Linked DNA regions of Oryza sativa Japonica Group. The protein of the gene in region 2 binds, or shares a complex with, the protein of the main gene of each other region. Links are inferred from orthologs where the notes say so. Each region holds a gene or a part of one and is shown on either strand. Other genes may lie near its edges. The genes, in order: thioredoxin-like fold domain-containing protein MRL7 homolog, chloroplastic; protein PLASTID TRANSCRIPTIONALLY ACTIVE 14; protein PLASTID TRANSCRIPTIONALLY ACTIVE 12, chloroplastic-like.

Region 1 (6,928 bases), on a different chromosome or scaffold from region 2:
GCCGCCGCAGAGGACGGACCGGGGCCAGACGGATCCATATACCCAAGCAAGAAATCAAGCTAGCTGATGACGGCCACAGCGACGACGACCAAGCTTAATTAGCATCAAGAAACTAAGCTAGCTCTCTCTCTCTCGCGCGCGATCGATCGTCGGCGGGCGGTGAGTAGAGGCGCACCCGGCGAGGGGGGGGGGGGTGCGCGGTAAAAAAAGGAAGAGAGATCTGGGCGGTGCTCGACGGGGTGGATCGAGATGGGACGTTGGAAAGGGAGCGGGGGCGGGGGAGAGCGACGGGCAGCCGGGAGGGGAGCTGAATGTTAGTCAGTGAAGTGGAGCGGAGGGGGTGTGAGGTTGATGGCAATTGGCAGCAGCTACACTGGCGGGCCACCCGGCCCATTCACGTGGTTGCCGGCCGGCGCATCCGGAGGTGTACGTTATGTATATACGTGCGCGCCATACATACGTACTTATGAAAACCACGTAGAGATTGCACGTAGAGAGTACGTACATAATGCAATGCATACAGTACATCTCCCAGTTGTGGTTGTACTGTACAGTGTTGTGTACACTGTACAGTTATACGTGTGCTGTGCGCACCCTGTGATATATATATATAGAGAGAGAGAGATTCTGTTTATATATGGTTTCTTTTTATTTATGCTTGGATTTCTAATATGATTTTTTGGATTTTTACGGTTTATAGGTTGATGGTTTTTTAACTTTATTACTCCCCCGTCCTATTTTAAGCGCAACCATGAGTTTCCGTGTCTAACTTGAATCGTACATCTTATTTGAAATTTTTTATTATTAGTATTTTTATTATTATTAGATGATAAAATATGAATAGTATTTTATGCGTGACTTATGTTCTTTATTTTTTTTCAAGAATTAAGACAGATTATCAAAGGTTGAACACATAAACTCATGGTTGTGCTTAAAATGTACGGAAGTAGCAAGTTTAAAGGTGAATTAACTAACTCCAATCCTCATAGACCGGAAAATTTACTCAAACCTGGCTTTTGACTTAATACAGTAAGAGTGCCTTATTGCTTTACAAAAGTCTAATTAAATAGAATCATCTACGAAAATATAATCATTATGAAATTTGGATATGCTGTTCATCTCATGCTCTTGGCAAAGTATAAAATTAACTCTCGTGTTGAAAAATGCATTGTACAGCCCTCCTAGCAGAACATGGTCTTTTTACATGGGTTAACAGAGTGAAATGAATAGAACCCCGACAGTGATGATATCTTTGGGATAAGTTATGATATCTCTGGGATAAGTTGGCTCGTATAATAGAATTTCTTGGAAGTTGCATTCGTCGATGAAACGATGATTTTTTGAAATGAGGTATTTGTCAATAGTATTTGTTAGATTTTATTTTTTTATATATATACTTCTAATTTATTTATGAAATAGGAGTAGTGATATTAAAACGATGCAAAGTAAAAGTTAGCAAGCACTGAAGCACCGTCAAAAGTGAATTGGTGGGAGTACTACAGAAGGATTAACAGTGCCCTTCATACAAGTAAATTGGCGATTTGATTTTAAAAAGGTTCGTCGGCAATTTCACAAGTAATCACAAAGGCAGTACCCAAATGCATAGGGAACAACCCATCCTTTTCAATTTTCTTCTTTGTCAGTTACTTCCAGACTTTTTCTGCTTACAATACAGATTCAACAGTTCAGATGTCACTTTCTCATCTCGATCTTTTCTAATTCTAACCTTCTAGTACTATCTACATAAACTACGGAAAGAAGCTAGAGTTCTACTCCCTGACCCTTTCTAGGTTGAGTTTTTTTTGGATGGAATGAGTACAAATTAATGCTAATTAATAATTCATATACACTCCACGTTTGAGCAGAAAATTAAACTGCCAAAAAATACAAGTAATTGCAATTGAGCATATGTTCGGATGATTAATATATTTCATAATCCATTGTATCCAGCGCCATCATCAATAGCTGACACAGTGATACGTGTGATCGGTAAGTGATCGTCGGTCGGCTGCTGTACTGACGGTAGGCGTAATCCTCCAGGGACATGGATCGTCGACAGTACTGCGGAGAAGCACTATAGCTGTGCCCACCACAGTTTGTTTAATGCAGTGAATATTGAGAAAACACCGTAGCTATAGTGTGTTGATCTCTTAGTTTTTTTCTGTTATTGTTTTACATTCACTGTAGTGCAGAGGATGGCTAATAGATAGTTACATACTATTCCCTGCATCTCAAAATAAACGAATTTATTATAGGATCTACTACGGGATGTAATATGTATTAATACTTATGTTCAGATTTTCAGTAGTATCACATCTATAGCTGTTTGGTACGGCAGATGCTCCCTGTTCCATCCTCCACGAATTTCCTTTGCCTTTGAAATTCTAATTTTTTGAATAGGGGAATACTAGTACGCAAACACCCGTATTCGTCCTCTACGTACTGGTGAGCGCCTTAAATTCGCCGCCGAATCGATCGCGATTAGCCATCCGTTTTAATCAAGCTTCCATCGTCTAACGCACCGGCCGTTCTTCGCCGGTGGAGGGACAGACAGGGGATGCGGCTGCGCTACCTGCACCGATCGCGTTAAGTGGGACAAGCAAGAGCGCAAAGACAAGAGCGCAGCACGGTGCGGGAGCCCGGTGGATCAGAGCTAGTACTAGTATATACTCCAGTTTGACGGACCCAGTGCCGGCCGGGCGACGCGCGCCTGACGCCCGCGGATCGATCGATCGCCGCCGCGCGCCTGGACGAGCCCAGGTGCGCTGCCCTGACACGCCACGCGCGTGTTCATCGACAGCGCCTCCTCCGCACGGAGGAAAATGACGTCGACAGCGCCTGGCTAGCACCGTCATTACGTCAACCGCTGACGTCAGGTAGTTGGGCTTGGTCTCAAGTTCCCGACTGGGAGCACATGCATTGGGCCGGATACCAACACCACCAGGAGAAGAGGAATCCCGGCCCGATAGCACATATCACACGGATTTGTGCCCAAATTTGTAATAAGACCAATGTAGTGGGCCGACTAGTAGCCCGTAGCTCGGTAGATGCAGTGATGCACCAATTCGGATAGGGCAGGAAAGAACGGTGAAAGACGAGCGCCGCGCGAAGGCCGGTGAACTTCGTCGCCGTGATGCTTCGTCTTCCCACTCTCCTCCCCCTAAAACCCTCGCCTCCCACCACCGGCTTAAACCCCATCCACGGCCGCCGCCATGGCCACCACCCCAGCCGCCTCCTCGCCTCCTCCGCCCCGCCGCCGCCACCACCACGGCCTCCCAAGCCCGAGCCCCGTACCAGCCACGAGAACCTAGGCGACGACACCCCCGATTTCCCCACAACCAAGCCCCGCAAGCCGCGCCGCGGGCGCCGGAGCGAGGCGGCGGCGGTGGAGGACTTCGTGCGTGGCCGCCTCGAGCAGGTCTTCGCTTCCATCCGGGAGCGCGACCCCGAAGTCCTCGAAGGCAAGGGCGACATCTTGAAGCGAAAGGAGGAGCTCTCCGACGAGGAGGGAAAAGAGGGGACTGGTGAGGAAGAGGGGGAGCTGAAGGCTGTGGTTGAGGAGGAGGATCCCTCCTGGCCTCTGGACGCCGACATCGGGTGGGGGATTCGGGCGTCGGAGTACTTTGACAAGCATTCCATCAAGAATGTGACGGTGGATGGTGTGGAGATCGATTGGGAGAGGGAGGTCGAGGAGGGATGGGTCAAAGAGATCAACTGCTTGGAGTGGGAGAGCTTCGCCTTCCACCCTAGCCCCCTCATCGTTCTTGTCTTCGAGCGCTACAACAGGTATAAATCACTATTCTACCCAGACTCTATTCATGTGAACCCATAGTACCTATATGTTAGGACCAAAGTGATAAACTTCATAAACTTCAAGCTTCTCACTTTATATTGTCATATCTGATAATTTTGAATCCATTGAATCAAAAGTTCAGAACTACCCCTGAAGTAATGCATAAAAATGTAAAAATGTACTATCGTTTTGAGTTGCCTCAGAAAATTAGGTGTTCTACTTCCATGACAGGATGATATGTACGCGTAATGTTTTGCCTTTGTTTATAGGGCAGCTGACAATTGGAAGTTTCTTCAAGAATTGGAAAAGGCGGCTAAAGTTTACTGGAATAGTAAAGATCGGCTACCTCCTCGGGTCAGTGTGAATCATATTTATAGTTAATACTTGATGTATTACGGTAAGGTTATTGAGGTGGTTGGTCATATGCTAAATTTAATTGAGTTCCAGACAGTGAAGGTTGATATGAATATTGAGAGAGACCTGGCATTTGCACTTCAAGTAAAAGAATGCCCACAATTATTATTCCTCAGGGGAAACAAGATATTATACAGGGAAAAAGGTGAGTAGTTAGTTCCATTTTTATGGTAAATCCTGTTCACATAGTTAACAAATTGAATGGAACTTTGAATTATTAAATTCCTTGATTGCTAATATGCACTTTCATGTTAGGCCCACCTTTTTCAATGGTCAAAATTGCCACTCTGACAACACCTGATTGCCTCATTTGCTTGTTTACAGAACTAAGAACTGCCGACGAACTAGTTCAAATGATTGCCCATTTCTACTACAATGCAAAGAGACCATCTTGTGTTAATCCTGAAGCTATTGCACCTCCGTGCTAATCTCCTGCATTTCAGCGCTTATGTATTGAGACAGTGCCTTAATTCTCAACTCTTGGTGAGTGTACACTGTGGTAAGCTTTTCATCCAATGATAACCTGTTCCCCGTTAGAAAACTGTATTCTATACTGGTCATTGTTCTCTTTAATGTCCTTTCTCTGTATTAGTACCTGGTTCAGGGGAGAATATTATTAATTTTGCTAACTTTATTTGCCAGGAAAATAGTCTAAATAGACCAGTGTGGTTATGATGCTTGTATCTGTAATAAATGTATCACTTGAAGAGGAAGGAGAGAAACCTCTTACTGGCTCATCTCAAGTTGGGAGGGGGTCAGGTATCAACTATGTCATATATTTTGGTATGCTCATGTTTTTAGCTGTACACTTTCACCTTTGTACTGTACTCTAACAAAACATACAGTTCATCAAATTTCTAGATAGAACAGGAGGGAATGCTAGCTTAATTATCTGCGTGGCCATCCTGTTAAGGAGGTTGTAAAGTCGATTGTAAACTTTTGAGGCGTAGTGTAATGTCATTTCACGCCATAGATGCAAAATGAAGGCAGGGGGGTCAACCCATTTGTCATCTTATAACTCCTCTGATTATTTTTCAGTGACGTAATTGAATTTGTTGGATGGAGAACGATACAAGACATACCATACATGCATTATAGGGTCATTTTGGTAGAACAATCTCATCTTGTGGAACTGCTTTCAGATACTCTTTTCTTTGGTTAGCCCCCCTTTTTTTATCTTGGGTGGCAAAGGGGGTATAGTTGTGCTCCAAATTCCCATGAGAATGGGATGGCAATGCTTCCCCCGGTCTCAAAAACAAGTCGCTTGAGAATGCGTCCAGTCAGCATAAGTTAAGTTTGGCTATAAAATAAATTAAAGTATATGTTTTGGGTGTTTCCATCTATAAAAATAACTTGAACTATAGGTTTTGGGTATATGAAAATGATATATTTAAGTTTGTCATAACAAGAGCTTTAATAGTAGACTGTCCGCATAAGAGAGATCATGAACAATCTGCCACTGGTTTTGAGTGCTCCAAAAGGAATGCAAAATGCAATTTCTGATCAAAGGTACTAGTACGAAATGGAACACGCGTCATGTCAGCCTATGAAATCAACAATTATTAATTGTTCCCCATATCGAACTATAAAGAAAGGAATCCGATGCAAACATTCACTTTGCTTAACAAGAGTTACTGACAAAAACAGAACAATCACCTCTGTAAACTATAAAACTATACAGTACAATACTGTCACCTAGACTCCTGGTACAAATTACAAAGTATAAACAACAACTCTGGATTGAGCAGTGGACACAACGAATCTACGCACACGATATCGAGGAGGAAGACGAGGACGCGATGCACAACGCCGGCGCGGCCGCCTCGTCGGCGCCACGGCCTCGCAGCAGCAGCGCGATGGCCTCGTACCCCATCGTCACGGCCATCTGGAGCGGCGTCGCGCCCCGCCTGGTGGCGGCGTGCACTTCGGCGCCCATGTCGAGCAGCAGCTCGACGGCCTCGGCGCTGCCGCCTTCGACGGCGAGGTGCAGCGGGCGGTGCCCTTCCACGTCCTCGCACTCGATGTCCATGCAGCCTGACCCGGCGAGCAGCGCGATCACGTCGCAGTGCCCTTTGATGGCAGCAAGGTGGAGCGCCGTCAGGCCGTACTGGTCACGTCCCCGGACGCCGGCGCGCTTGCTGAGGAGGGACTCGAGGCTCTGGAGGTCGCCTCGCCTCGCCGCCGTCATGACCAGTTCCCACCGTTCCAGGACGTCCACCACTTCTTGCTACACCCACCGAACAACATCGTAACTACACCAGTATAACTTAATTTGTAATAAAAACGCGCTGCTTAGAGTACACTTCTTGCAAAACAATACTGATAATGCTGCTCTTGAAAAGTAACAGAAGTACTGTTCAACCATGTCATTTCGCAGACAGAAAGTCCCATGCTGGCCATTTATGCATTTCTGGTGGACAATAATGGAATTGCACTACTGTAGCGTCGTCCTACTCCTATCATGATTCACGAGCGCATCGACAGGTCACATAAGCCAAGCTACCTACGTACATCCTCCAGCTGGTCCATGATCCTCCCCGTCGGTTCTGTAACTTTTGTACGACCAGTGATGCTTTACAAGTCTACAACTAAATCAATGTTTTCCTAATTTGACACAAACGTTTTTACGACCTGCTAGTGCATTTAGGACCACACAGATTATGGTTCACATTCACACATGGTTGCACGGTTAGTTACCAGGAGGAATCTTTGTCGAGTTGC
Region 2 (6,797 bases):
TAGCGATCGGGAGGAAGAGGAGATGAGTGTGCTGTGCTGTGTGCGTGAGAGGAGAGGAGAGAAGAGAAGCAGGCGGCTGCGGCTGCGTCGCGGTGCGGTGGGAGATGTGTTTTTTTCTCTTCGTTTTTTATTTATTTTTTTCTTTTGCCTTTTTTTGGATGTGTGCGTACGTGGTTCGGGAGGCGAGACCACCTGGGCCTCGCGCGACGGGTAGTGAGTCACTGACGTGGTGGGGACAGGTTGAGTGGGGCCAACTGTGAGTGGGGTGGGTACATATAGGTCAGGTAGTAGTAGGTGAGAGGAGTCCCAGGGCGGCAGCAGAGCACGGTGGGGAGTTCGACGAGGCGCGCCGTGCTGGGCCCGGGGCTGAGCTGTGGGCCGGCGCTTTCGGGGTGGGGGCCACGCGTCAGTGGACTGTGGGATCGATTATCAGTCTCTGATCTTTCTTTTTTTTAAAAAAGCATATCAAACTCTCCCACAAAACTTGCTCAAGGGTGTGTTTGAGAAGAAGTGGATTGAGTAGATTGAGAAGATACGCAAAACGAGGTGAGCCATTAGCTCATGATTAATTGAGTATTAATTATTTTAAATTTTAAAAATAGATTAATATGATTTTTTAAAGCAACTTTTCTATAGAAATTTTTTACAAAAAACACACACCGTTTAGTAGTTTGGGAAACGTGCGTGTGGAAAATGAGATGCTTTCTCCCTCAATGTCCTCCAAACGAACGCTGCCCAAGTAATGTTTCATTTTTTTCAGGTATGTATTATTCTTTGTGTTTTTATAGGTATAAGTATAACACTCCTAAGTTAAACCGTTTTCAGCAACGCTGAGTTTTTCTTTTAAGAAAACAAATCATGATTGATGAGTTTCTACATGGTTTTTGGAGGAAATTGTCTGAAATTTAACGACATTTCTATGCACATGTACACTGAATGGAAAATGAATAGTAGCTCAATGAAAATAGAACATGGGCGTGCTCATGATGGCTAGCGCACATCATGAAAGTCGTATAATCATTTCCACCACAGTTAGGCCCGATCAGGAATGATTCTTTCCACATGAATATTCACTATGAATCCCATACAAATTAATCATATCATCATAGAAGACGTATGTTTTAAAAATCATGGAATAGGAGATATAATCAAGAAAATATAATGTATATAGCTGGAGCAAATATATTAAAAAAGAGTAAAATATTTCTAATTGTCTTATAACGGATAGTGTAGCAGTGACAATTTTTTCAGACAACAATACAATGTGCATATGTTTTCATGTATCTCTCTCTTTCAGTAAACGTATTCCCGGTCTAAATACACAAAAACAACAAATTATATATATGTAGTGCATCTATTGTTTTTAGGTGCCATATAATATCTATATTTACCATCGTATGGACACTGATATAAGAATATTTTTTTTGGAATAATGTTATAATAATATTAAAAATCTTAATTTCTTCATATATGAGTATATGACTAGATAATAGAATCCTTTATTGTTCTCTCTTTCTTTTTTCTTCTCCACATGATCTTAATATATGTTCCACATGGTTTTCTCGATTAGAACAGATCTGCCATCACCTTCTGAGCACAAAACGCGCGCGCACATAGATAGATAGATAGATTTCTAAAAAGATAAAAATAGATAGATAGATAATATTGGTATGAAACAAGATTAATTGATTCCCTCCCCTGCCTCAAAGTTGAATGTTGTTGCCAGAGATAGGTCCTTAACGGGCTTTATTGCTGCTGAGATGAAATCATTGGCAAGATGTTTTACTTAAGTTTCTTTTGTTCATGTAAGCGTAAGCCATAAGCCGCAGAGCTGATGAGGTGGTTCATATGTTAGCTAGAACAAGCTAGCTTGCTGTTCACTTGGTTTACTAACAATGTATCCCTGGTTGTATAAAGGATCTTGTAAACTCTGAATCTTTTTACGAATGAATGGGTCAACCCTGATATTAATTTTTAAAAACATTGAACGGCAGGAGCTCTGCTGGATATATTAGAACCTTTATATTAAAATATAGAAGAAAAAACTATCTCCGAGAATCTCATCGATGTATTCCTTACAGTCAAGACAGATAATATATGAGGCCCTTGGCTGGCCTTTGCTGTGGTCACTAGAGGAGAGTAGGGCTTCGGCTGGTCAGTCGTCACCACTGCCGCTCTCCTCGGGTTCGACTCTCCACCGCTGTCACTCACTCTGTTGTCGCCACCCAACGAGGCCCACAAGAGAGGAAAGAGAGATAGAGGGAAGGTGAGGAAGAAAACAAGATGAGGAGGAAGTTGCTGACATGTGAGTTCTACCTGCTAACTCAACGAGTCAAGTACGGTCAACCTACCACGTTAGAGAAAACCGTTTTCCAAACCATAAAGGAGTTAATTTGTATCAGTTTTTGAAGATGGGAGATGCGCTATACCAGGTTGTGTGGTTGAGGGAGGTGATTCAATTAGGAGCGAACGATAAGGGAGCTAATATACACTTATTCCTCGCGAGGTTATAGATTTTAAGGCCCATGGGCCATTCATTTGAATGGGCTAAAATCTCGTCTCGTCCATCGCAGCAGTAGATAACGTATTCTTCCATCGCAGGAGGTGCGCTTCCTATCCCCATCGCCACCCATGGCGACTCCCGCCGCTTCCCCTCTCCTGCTGCCGCTCCCCCTCCCCCTCCCGGCCTCCACCTTCCCGCCTCGCCGCGCCGTTCCCTGCGCCCGCCGCCTCGTCTTGCGGCCTCCCCGCGCCGGACGCCCTCGCCTCCGGGACCCGCCTCCCGCGGCACCCCCACCGGCGGCGGAGGAGGTCGGCGAGGAGGAAGAGGACGACGATGCCCCCCCGCTCAGGCTCCTCGAACCGCCCCAGGAGGACGACCCCTTCCCGCCCGAGGTGCTCAATCTCTTCCCGCCTAGTTGCTTCCGTTGCTCACATCTCTTCTGCTCGCGCGCATGCATGCATGATGAACAATGTCGTCGTGTGCAGATGGAGCCGGCCGACCCCGACTTCTACCGGATAGGGTACGCGCGGATGATGCGGGCGTACGGGGTTGAGTTCTTGGAAGGCCCCGATGGGATGGCCGTCTATGCCTCCCGGGACGTCGACCCACTCCGCAGAGCTAGAGTGAGCCTTTCTTTAACTATCCCATCATTATCTTTCCAATTCACTGCAATTGGACATAAGTACTATACTTACAAAGGGGCATTACAAATAGCATGTACAAGTACAATGTAGAGCCAGCCACAGCCAGTACTCACTCCACTCCAGTACATATATATGGTCTACATTCTGTGGTTGTTACTTTACCATTTACTGCTAGTTGGTTAGCGTATGTATGTCCTACTATCAGAACAAATATGAATTCTACTGAATAGTACGAAATGAAGTCAATCTTTGAATTTGTTAGGTACTTTACGCTTACATATCTTCTGCTGCCTTTTATAATGCTATGCAAATAATCAAATATGGTGTAAGGACTGCTCACATTCAGTTTCTGGATGCAACTAAAGCTTGCTAGTGCTTCACTTTAATATACCACATAGAACTGTTCTATTTCAGAAATCATGAGGCAGCTTGCTCGTGTGTTCACTACTTTTTAAGAACTAGTTAAGTTTAATCACACACTTATGCATAATCTTCTTGGCATATATATAAAAATTCATTTCACTTTATCAGGTGATTATGGAGATTCCATTGGAGCTGATGCTGACTATAACTCAAAAACGCCCTTGGATGTTTTTCCCCGACATTATTCCACTAGGCCATCCCATATTTGACATCATTGAATCAACAGATCCTGAGGTAAATGGAGCCCTCTAACCCTCTAATTATGGTATGTTCCAGTGAAGACTGTATGTGCATTCCAGAGTTTGTGTTTTTTAGTTTCTACAGAATCACTTATGAGGAACATTGTGTAATTAAGATTCAATAGCGCTTTGACTGCCCATTCCATCTACTATGAAAATAAGCTGTTATATTGGATAAAAGGGATGGTATTACTCAACACTTGCAACCTGTTTTCTTCCTTCATGCGGTGTCAAAGCTTCATAAGTGATGTAGACTGCATCCTAACGCAATCTGTACCCTCTTGCAGACAGATTGGGATCTAAGGTTAGCTTGCCTTCTTCTCTATGCATTTGATGTAGAAGACAACTTTTGGCAGCTATATGGTGATTTTTTGCCTAGTGTTGATGAATGCACTAGCTTGCTTTTGGCACCAAAGGTATTGTAAATCTAAACAAAATGAATTGTAGTCTTCTTAAACCTGACAATACAGTTTGAATGAATTTACATGCCTGGCTTGCCAGGACGATCTAATGGAACTAGAAGACCAAGATCTTGCCACGAAAATGTTAAAGAACCAGAAGAGAGCAATTGATTTTTGGCAAAAACATTGGGTACACTTCTGTACTATTTGATCAACTTCGCTGGCTTGGGTACATCTAACACTAGCTTGATGGGTAATGTCCAGCATAAAACAATCCCTCTAAAGCTAAAGCGTCTTGCCCCTGACCATGAAAGATTTCTATGGGCACTGAGTATTGTTCAGTCTCGCTCTGTCAATTTGAAACTGAGAATGGGAGCCTTCCTCCAAGATGCAAATGTCCTAGTGCCGTATGCTGGTACATGTTTTCTTATCTGTTCCCCTTTATGCTCTTTATTTTTATTTTCAGTGTGTATTAAGCACCGATTACTAAAATTAAGAATAAAATCACTTAGTTTCTTCAGCTTGCGATGATAATCAGATGTCTAACAGTCTAAGTCAAGGCTGCGGTCTGAGGGATCTTTTGCTCCATTTATTTTGAGCTGGCGAATGCTATAAAGGTTTTTATAATGTTATAGCGCTAATGTTACTTGCACAGTAAATCATAGTTACCAACTGATCCAAGATATTATATTTTCTAATATCAGCACTACTTCTGTATGGTTAAACTCTGTTGGAATAAGGATCTAACTAATATCTATTGTCATTTTTCACACCAATACTACGCTTTATTCCTTCTAGACGTTCTAGTCAGGCAGTATAGTTACATTGAATTACTTAATAATTATCACAAAGGCATGAAATTCAAAACTATACTGTTCTGATAATCAGCATATTCTAGCTTCTGATTACTGATACTGAGTCTCATCATAACTTATAGCTTGCCTATTTGTCTCCAGATATGCTGAATCATTCACCTGATGCTAATTGTTTCCTGCATTGGCGTTTCAAAGATCGTATGGTTGAAGTCATGATTAAGGCTGGGCATGCTGTCAAAAAAGGAGATGAGGTACTGTTTAGAGCTTAGAGTACAATTAGCTTCCTTGTGAGCAAAGAGCGACTAGTTTAATGTTATATTATAATTAAAAATTCCTTATTTGCATGGAAAGTTGCCAACTTTACTTAAATGCCATCCAAAATTTCAAACCAGTTTGATCATTTCATTCTATGGACCCAGTACAGATGACAATTGATTATATGAGTGGAGTGAACAGCTCATTTATGGAAAGATATGGTTTCTCATCACCAACGGTATGATCATGTGTTTGATTTTAATTCTTGCTTGTTCTTGCAAGCCACATCTGTCCTTTCCCACTTGGCAGGACTTAGCATTGAGGAATATTGTGTTGGGTATAAGTATAACTATATCTGCGAGATTATGGTTCTGCTTAAAGGAAACAACTCTAGCATCAAATATGTTGTGCTGCTATGCTAGATTGCTAGGCATGTTAATACGATACCATGCATTGAAACAACTACAGTGTCATTTTTTTTTTTAAAAAAAATGTGACTTCTTATATGGTTGTGTGCACACAACAAACACTACAGAATCCTTGGGAGCTTATAAACTTCTCGAGTGATGCCAAGATTCATCTTGACTCCTTCCTGTCGGTCTTCAACATTGCTGGCTTGCATGATGAGCTCTACCACAATGGTAGGAACTAGGAACACATGACCTTGCGAACCATTCTGCAACATGCCTTGATTCGGAACCTTTGATTTGAACTATCCAATGTGTTGCAGCTGCATTGACCTCAGGAGAAAACAACTTTGTTGATGGAGGAGTCGTGGCAGCAGCAAGAACTCTGCCGACATGGTCAGAAGGTGATGTTCCTGCCATACCAAGCTTGGAAAGAAAATCTGCTCAGGCATTACAAGAGGAATGCCATACGATGCTGGAGTCCTTTTCAACCACTATTCAACAAGACCAGGAGATTCTAGGTAAGGCCCATCAGGATCCCAAGTATTAATTTAGCCTTTTTCATAGTCCTTCCGAGAAATACATGCAAATGATTGGTCTGTAATGTGTTGCAGATTCTGATGGACATATCAGAAGAACACGTGAAATCGCAATCAAGTATGTGAACTAGCAAGTTGTTTTAGCCATTGCTCCCATGAAGTTTATGTTTGTTTGTACCACTTGCTTGTTAACACATTTTTTCTGTTGATATGCAGATATCGGCTACACCGGAAGCTGCTCCTGCAGAAAATCATCGATGCATTGGATATCTACCAGGATAAAATTTTGTTTTAGATAGCTGTATAGGCAACAACTAGTTGAGCTCCAGTGCTAGTTTGCTAAGCGCTGGAGTGTCTTTAGATGATTTTGTGAAGGGGGTTTCACTCACATCTGTAACAGTAGGGATTTCACCTCATTCTTTTAGATATTTCCACTTTGGTAGATAGCAGTATAGTGAAATAAAGACAGTGCCCATGAGGTAGTGTAGTTTCCAGCCAGTGACCTGCAGAAAATCAAGTAATCCCTCTGTTTCGAACTACTTGTGTTCTAGTTTTGTCCTAAGGTAAACAT
Region 3 (6,929 bases), on a different chromosome or scaffold from region 2:
TACGACAGGGTACGTTACGTGCTTGGAGTGGGAGTTGATACAGTTACAAACTCTATGCATGCATTAGACACTTCCATGAATTTACACAAAATTAAACCATATGCACATAATTAGGCAAGATAGTGAATAGGACTGCTGGACTGGCAAGAATGCTACTCGCTCAGCATTTATTAATGCCAAAAGGCTGAACTTTTTCCATTAGAACAGAACTGATAATAATGAAAAGGTACCTTTGGATTTTCAGCCTGTCCGGTAGTTTTTAGAACACTCCAATTACGACTGACCTTCCCTTCAGCATCCTCAGCATCATCACCATCATCTTCATCATCCTATTGGTAAAGCAGTATAATACAAAGGAATGACAAGCTTTCAAGTAGGACAAGTATCGATAACTATCTCATCAATAAATCAACTATTTCCATGCACAGCAAGAGAGGCATTCAGCTTCCAATAAGCATGTATATGAACTGAAAGATCTGTTGTCATTGCCAGTAATAAGAAGAAATTCGCAAGGCTACATTGAGAATCGCAGATTGCATGCATTTCCATCAAGTAAACAGTACAGTATTATACCTCTAGTGACTCAGGCTGCGCAACAACTTTGTCAGCATCCTCCTCATCGTCATCACTATCTTCGTTGTACTATTTGAAAAGTAGAAAACATCACAGTGAAATGCGCGTAAGTTTGTATGGAGAAGCTTTTATATAATCTAGCATTACTTTGCAGTTATGAACCCAAAGAAACAGAATTTACATTTTTTTTATTTCTCCTGTACTGAGAGGTTTTGGTAAAAAATAGAAGCATTTAGGATGGATACTCACAGAATGCTCCCCAATATCAACAGCAGTAGCCATGGGATCTCTGACTTCAGGAAGATACTGTCAAGAAGGTAAGACAGGATAAGTAAAAGAGGTATTTGTGATGCCTATTCTCAACATTCAATTAATACCAAACCAGAGTTACAGTTAAACGTATACCGTAATGTCCTGATTGATGTCTTCCATCTCTTCATTTAAACGGGCATATAGCTCTTCCTTTGTTATCATTATACCATGCTTAAAAGGGGAAAGGCGATATATCATGTTAGAGCTTCATCAGTCCTATTAGCAGCTTAGCGCCAGTTGTCGCATGACTGGCATTGTTAGTACTGTGCTATACTATTGTACTGTTATAAATAACAACAGGTAACATATACTTATGCAGCCATGGCTTTCCAAATCAATAACCATACATCGTCATGAATCCAGTAAATTTTAGGCAGCACATTGTGAAATACTATAAGTTGTGTGGAAGCACTACGACATACCTCCATCAAGTAAGGTACAACTTCAGGTGTAGGCTCATGAAATTCTGGACCCCTGTAGTCCGCTACTTCGTCAGGATCATGAACGTAGTTAATGGTTGGGTAAACAGGATCACCACCCCAAACTGCATATTTTAATATGGAAAGATTATTCCCATGTAAACTGCACCAGGGTATACCTGAAATACTTGTTTGAATATACTAGTTGTAAACATTTCTAATAGACCATTTTAGGTGCATTTATACAGAAACAATGTAGATATCATAAAAATACAAACAGTCACAACAGTGCCACGTGAAACTGGAGAAAACATGTCATGTTGTGTTCAAACCCAGTGACTTCCGTTCCAGGATCATGCCAGTCTATAAGCAGGACAGGAAACAAAGTTTGGTTTGTCATATTTATTTCAAAAACAAACCATAGAAGTTAACAAGTAGTTTGGATGTTCCAAATATATTCTCAGGTAAATGCCAACACTACTTCTGTGCTAAGTTAAGATCATAATATGTGCTCAATTTCCAGGATTTATCATACAATATATTTTAACAGAATAAATACGATTAAAGAAAGAAGCTATTGTAGGATGGACCATGTATAAATTCAGCAAAAGCGGCTTGTAGATGTCAATAATATAAAATGATCAGGATTGAGAAAAGAAGATATACTCTGTTTGATCTGGTCTTCCCGCATCCTCATTGCCAAAGGATCTCGTTGTATGCGAACATCAGTGCCCATCATGATACGGAATTCCCCAGCAGTTTGGTGTTGAAACATTGTTATAAGTTGAGTATTCTCATCTTCGCCAGTCTCCTCAAAGTGTTTCTGTACAGCTTCTCGTGAAGTGTCTTTGTTTTTATACGCTTCAACCCATTCCGAATAGTATGCTATTGGCCCTATTTCTTCTAGTCTCCTTTGTTCTGCTTCTAACCTGTGTTTTCATTGTATATCCAATATAAGAATGGACGGAAGGCAAGATAGAACTATATACCTTAAGAATACTGTGAAAATATCATGTTGAAAGGACGTTGTGTCAATATTTTTTTCTGCTGTCATAACAAGTAACATTGAAGTACAAACCAGCAGGTAGGCAACTAGACATAATAACATCCATCAAATATTTGTTATAAATCAACGAGGGGATACCAAAGGTCAGTTAAAGAGTCTACATAAGCTTAAAGAGTATCATTGCACATATGGTGAAGATATTAAAATTAAAAGCACGGTTTTCACATATGGTGAAGACCCACGAAAAGCAAAATCACTAAATTTTGAGAAAATAATTTCTAGTATTCAGCCAACCTTTCCTCTTTGAATAAATGTCTTCTTGCCTTGGCAAGAGCAGCTTCTGTTCTGGTAGGGTGGTCCCCAAATATTTTGATCTGCCCAGTTTCTGCCATTGCTTTTGCAAAGACCTACAATAATGAAATGAGTGTTACAATTTAAATTATAACTGACAAGACACAGAGCTGTAAGTTAGAAGAAACACTAATCTGAATAATGAAAAAGGTTAAAAACATCAACCAACAATATAGATTAAATTGATAAGCCATGTATAGGAAATGCCACATCTGCAAGCTGTGCACGTGTATCTACCAGGTGGTGGATTTAGTATGGGGGAATAGGCGTTCAACTGAGCCACACAGCTTTTAGGATTCGTGGAATAGAGATGACCCCAGAAGATCCTTATAAATGTTACCAGTCTAGGCTAATGAAGAACCTAATTCTGTCTGAACCCAAGATATATGGTTAAGTATTTCATCTCATTTTGAACTCCCAGAATAAAAATACCAGCTCATCACTGTGTACACTACTCTGCTTGCATCTTTTATACACTAGAAGATGCATACGATGATCATGACGACATTGTGTGGCTTCTGGAAATATTAGCACTACAAACACTATACTTTGGTTGGATATTTTGGCACACACAAAACTACATGTACTCCCTCCGTCCCAAAAATATAAGAACCTAGTACCGAATGGGATGTGTCCAACCAAAGTATATAGTATCCTGCGTCCCATCCAATACTAGGTTCTTATATTTTGGGACAGAGGGAGTACTACCTTAGTGTTTGTGCCTTGTGCTATCAAAATAGGGTATACGAAGACTAGCATACAAACAATTGAAACCCTCAAAATTGTGGTGTGGACATGCAGCAGGAGGAGTGGAGAATAAGAACCATACTGTGTACATCATATTCGCTACTAGGTTATGTTAACAAGTGACAATAGGCAGAAAAACTTAAGTAAAAAAGACTTATAAGTCATTTATTAAGTTCAAACCAATCAAGAACTAACCGTGTCAACATCTGGACGCCTCCTCTGCCATCTTGACCACATTTCATTTTCCTCAGACTTCCTCCTCCAGTTCCACCACAGCTCTTCACTAGATTTTGGTTCCCCTACAGACATTGCCTTCTGCGGGTCAACGAACGGGTGTGGCCGTCCCATCATCTTGTCCATCTCATATTCACTCAAATTTTCTTCCTTGGGCATCTCATAAACGACGTACTCATCCAATGAATCCTTTGTCTCCTCCAGTGTCTCATCTGATGAGGCCTCAATGGCCACAACCGACTCTCCCTCATCTCCACTGGTCTCCGTGCCTCTCCCTGCCGTCGCTGATGCTACCTGCTCCTTGTACCCTTTCCTTCTACTCCCGGGCTTCTTACCAAACGACGGTGTCCCAGCTGATTCCCCGACCGGTGCAGGTGCACGGGCAGCGCGTACGCGGGATGCAGTGCCCTCCGGCCAGTACTCCTGCCCAGGTATGCTTGCCCGAGCACCCGACGCCGGCTCGAGCTGGCCCGACGTGGAGTCGAAGTAACTGGAGTACGGTGGCGCCTCGATCTTAGATGGATCAAAATGGAGCGAGTCGTCCTTGACGCTCCTGATCCTGCCTCTTCGCGTTCTGCTCGACACACCAGAAAACAGCACCCTTCTCCGGTGAGGCAATCCAGCAAACACCTTCTGCGCACGCACCAAACACAAATCAAAATAAAAAAATACTCAGCACCCATGACAACTGGGAGCACGGGAACGCGGTAAAATTTCAGCAATTTTCTCGGGCATTCCGATGGGGGAGGAGTTACCAAGGACTGGAGGGGGCGAGGAACAGTCTGGGCGGTGGCCTGCGGCGCCATGCCTGCGGAGTATTGGAGGGAGGTGAGTTCGCTTGAGCCGTGCGAATTGGCGGTTGGAAATGAGGGGCGAGAGGTCACCTGGGAGGAGCCAAGTGCGGGAGCACGACGCCATGGCTCCGCCTCCGATGCTGCGGTTGGAACCCGAGGTGGACGAGAGAGAGCTAGGGGAGGGAAGCGGATGGGTTGAGCTCCATGGACGCGCACCGAAGTTCAGGTAGCCGGTTTGGTCTTCGGAAGGGGACAGGATAACAAGGAGAGGTTTTCGAAGAGGAACACGGGGTTTATCCGGTGGACTTCAAATTCGAATTTTTTTTATTTATAATTTTTTTTATTAAAAGTTTTACAAAAATAATTTTCCATTTTGAAAATTGACGGAAATAGTCGCCTACAGCCCTCTGGGAGGGCGATTTTTAAAAATCGCCCTCCCAGAGGGCGGCGAAAATGACGTGGCAGACGGCCGTTCGCTCTCGGGCGACGGCCGTCAACGAAATTTGCAGGCGGCCCCCTTGCCGCCCTCCGCGAGGGCGATTTTCTACTGTGCGGGGGGCCGCCTGCAAATGGGCGGCGGGGGGGGCATGGAATTTTTTCAGGCGGCCCCCTTGCCGCCCTCCGCGAGGGCGATTTTCTACTGTGCGGGGGGCCGCCTGCAAATGGGCGGCGAGGGGGGGCATGGAATTTTGCAGGCGGCCCCCTTGCCGCCCTCCGCTAGGGCGATTTTGCACTGTGCGGGGGGGCCGCCTGCAAATGGGCGGCGAGGGGGCATGGAATTTTGCAGGCGGCCCCCTTGCCGCCCTGGGGGAGGGCGATTTTTGCCTCCCCCCTATAAAGCCCAGCCCCTCCCCTGTGAAATTTCATTATATTCACTAAAAATCCAAAAAAACGAAAGAGAGAGAGAGGGGAGGGCAGCAGAAGGGAAGCGGCGAAGCCCTGCTGGTTCGCTCACTTCATCACAGGTATGCTCCCATACATCTTTTGCATTTGTACTAATATATTACGTTTGAGTACATATGTTGCGTTTTAGTTTTAGTTCCATATATTTTAGCAGATCTGTAGCACACAGCACATATGTGTAGATCCAGAGCATAGAATATAATAGTATGAATTGAGACATAGACAGTAGTGTTAATTGTAAGATGTAGTTTAGTTTGATCTGGAGAATGTAACCTACTTTTAGAAATTTAGAGAACAATATTGTAGAGAATGTAACTTAGGGCGTAGTACAGAAATGCGAGGTTAACGCAGTTATTGTTTTCATCAGGCACAATGTCAAGTAAGGTCACATTTCAGATAGTTCACGGTGAAGGAAATATTAGATTTGGTCCAGATGGTGTTGATCTGTCAGATTTTGTAATGACATCTAAGGGCATCGATAGGCCTGCGGAGAGAACATTTGAGTCAATTTATAGTTGGTTGTTGAGAGGATTTAGAATAGACCAAGAAGTCTACACAATGTCAGTATCTGTTGTAGTGAGTCGTGCAATAGAAGGTTATTTTTGGGAACTAATGCCGATGGACAGCACTGCTGCTTGGAGACGGTATGTGGAAATGGCTTTTGAACGGTCATGGCCCCTCGTTATATTTGTGTCGGTACAAGAGAAAGATACAAATGTTTCAATGCAAACCGAAGATGTGGAGGGTCCTAGCAATGCAGGGGATGTTGTTGGACCATCGATGCAAAATGAGGAAAATCAACCAAGGGAGGAGCAGGCCATGGGCATGGCGGATGAGGGGGAGAGAGTCGGTATAATTGTTGATGAAATGGAGAGGGAAGATTCGGATAATGAGCAAGCGGAGGACGACGCATCATCCGATGAGGAAGGTGATGTAATGGCCACTGATTGGGCAAATGAGGACTTCTCTGGTCTTGTTATATCAGAGGGTGATCATGTACCCTGGGAGTATAAGGAGAACGAGGTAATTGAGGGTGCAAGGTATGCTCATAAGGATGAGATGAAGGAGGCGGTGAAGCATTGGGCAGTTTCATTGCAGAGAGAGTTTAGGGTGGTCAAGTCAACAAATTATGTGTATGAAGTGAGGTGCATGAAGGAAGAATGTCCGTGACGTGTCCATGCATATAAGGGTAAATGGAATGATTATTGGAAAGTTAGCATTGTGACCGAGCACAAGTGCTACTTACAAGGGGTGGAGAAGTATCACCGAAACATCACTTCAGCTTTTGTGGCAAGTGAGATGTACAGCAGTGTTGTTGGTAACATTGGCTTTGAACCAAAATCAATTATTAGGCACATCGAGAACAAATTCAAGTACACCATAAGCTATGCAAAGGCCTGGAGAGCCAAACAAAAGATCATTGAGATGAGGTATGGCACATTTGAAGCTTCTTATGATAATTTGCCTCGTTTGTTAGCCACCATTGCCCAGAGGAATAATAATACTTACTATGACCTACATACATTTACATCGGTTGAAGATCGAACAAAGAGTGTGCTGCAAAGAGCCTTTTTCTCATTGGGTGCTTGC

Evidence for each region.
Region 1: protein PLASTID TRANSCRIPTIONALLY ACTIVE 14 (region 2) and thioredoxin-like fold domain-containing protein MRL7 homolog, chloroplastic share a complex: the UniProt entries of both Arabidopsis thaliana proteins name them as parts of the transcriptionally active chromosome (TAC) complex. The link is inferred for Oryza sativa Japonica Group from reciprocal best matches to the Arabidopsis thaliana genes PTAC14 and MRL7.
Region 3: protein PLASTID TRANSCRIPTIONALLY ACTIVE 14 (region 2) and protein PLASTID TRANSCRIPTIONALLY ACTIVE 12, chloroplastic-like share a complex: the UniProt entries of both Arabidopsis thaliana proteins name them as parts of the transcriptionally active chromosome (TAC) complex. The link is inferred for Oryza sativa Japonica Group from reciprocal best matches to the Arabidopsis thaliana genes PTAC14 and PTAC12.

The regions. Positions count from the first base shown.
Region 1 is NC_089035.1:36,099,182-36,106,109, forward strand, and holds thioredoxin-like fold domain-containing protein MRL7 homolog, chloroplastic, read left to right. Parts: upstream 1-3,051; 5' UTR 3,052-3,133; coding exon 3,134-3,786; intron 3,787-4,062; coding exon 4,063-4,147; intron 4,148-4,240; coding exon 4,241-4,352; intron 4,353-4,531; coding exon 4,532-4,635; 3' UTR 4,636-4,706; intron 4,707-4,849; 3' UTR 4,850-5,220; downstream 5,221-6,928. Other genes in the region: protein G1-like7, read right to left, coding at 1-38; protein VAPYRIN, read right to left, coding at 5,970-6,434. UniProt on the Arabidopsis thaliana protein: Plays an essential role in early steps of chloroplast development. Involved in the regulation of plastid gene expression. May positively regulate plastid-encoded RNA polymerase (PEP) activity through binding to FSD3 and CITRX/TRXZ.
Region 2 is NC_089039.1:29,435,227-29,442,023, forward strand, and holds the start of protein PLASTID TRANSCRIPTIONALLY ACTIVE 14, read left to right. Parts: upstream 1-2,577; 5' UTR 2,578-2,631; coding exon 2,632-2,895; intron 2,896-2,988; coding exon 2,989-3,126; intron 3,127-3,678; coding exon 3,679-3,804; intron 3,805-4,096; coding exon 4,097-4,225; intron 4,226-4,310; coding exon 4,311-4,400; intron 4,401-4,474; coding exon 4,475-4,625; intron 4,626-5,166; coding exon 5,167-5,276; intron 5,277-5,449; coding exon 5,450-5,518; intron 5,519-5,815; coding exon 5,816-5,921; intron 5,922-6,010; coding exon 6,011-6,208; intron 6,209-6,301; coding exon 6,302-6,344; intron 6,345-6,442; coding exon 6,443-6,521; 3' UTR 6,522-6,797. UniProt on the Arabidopsis thaliana protein: Essential for chloroplast development, especially for thylakoid formation. Involved in plastid gene expression, probably by maintaining plastid-encoded RNA polymerase (PEP) activity.
Region 3 is NC_089035.1:33,073,660-33,080,588, reverse strand, and holds the start of protein PLASTID TRANSCRIPTIONALLY ACTIVE 12, chloroplastic-like, read right to left. Parts: upstream 4,699-6,929; 5' UTR 4,561-4,698; coding exon 4,527-4,560; intron 4,451-4,526; coding exon 4,398-4,450; intron 4,276-4,397; coding exon 3,604-4,275; intron 2,718-3,603; coding exon 2,605-2,717; intron 2,234-2,604; coding exon 1,971-2,233; intron 1,430-1,970; coding exon 1,308-1,429; intron 1,057-1,307; coding exon 979-1,056; intron 880-978; coding exon 823-879; intron 643-822; coding exon 574-642; intron 330-573; coding exon 231-329; intron 1-230. UniProt on the Arabidopsis thaliana protein: Involved in plastid gene expression. Acidic transcriptional coactivator necessary for the transactivation of many PIFs target genes (class B genes), particularly during the regulation of hypocotyl growth.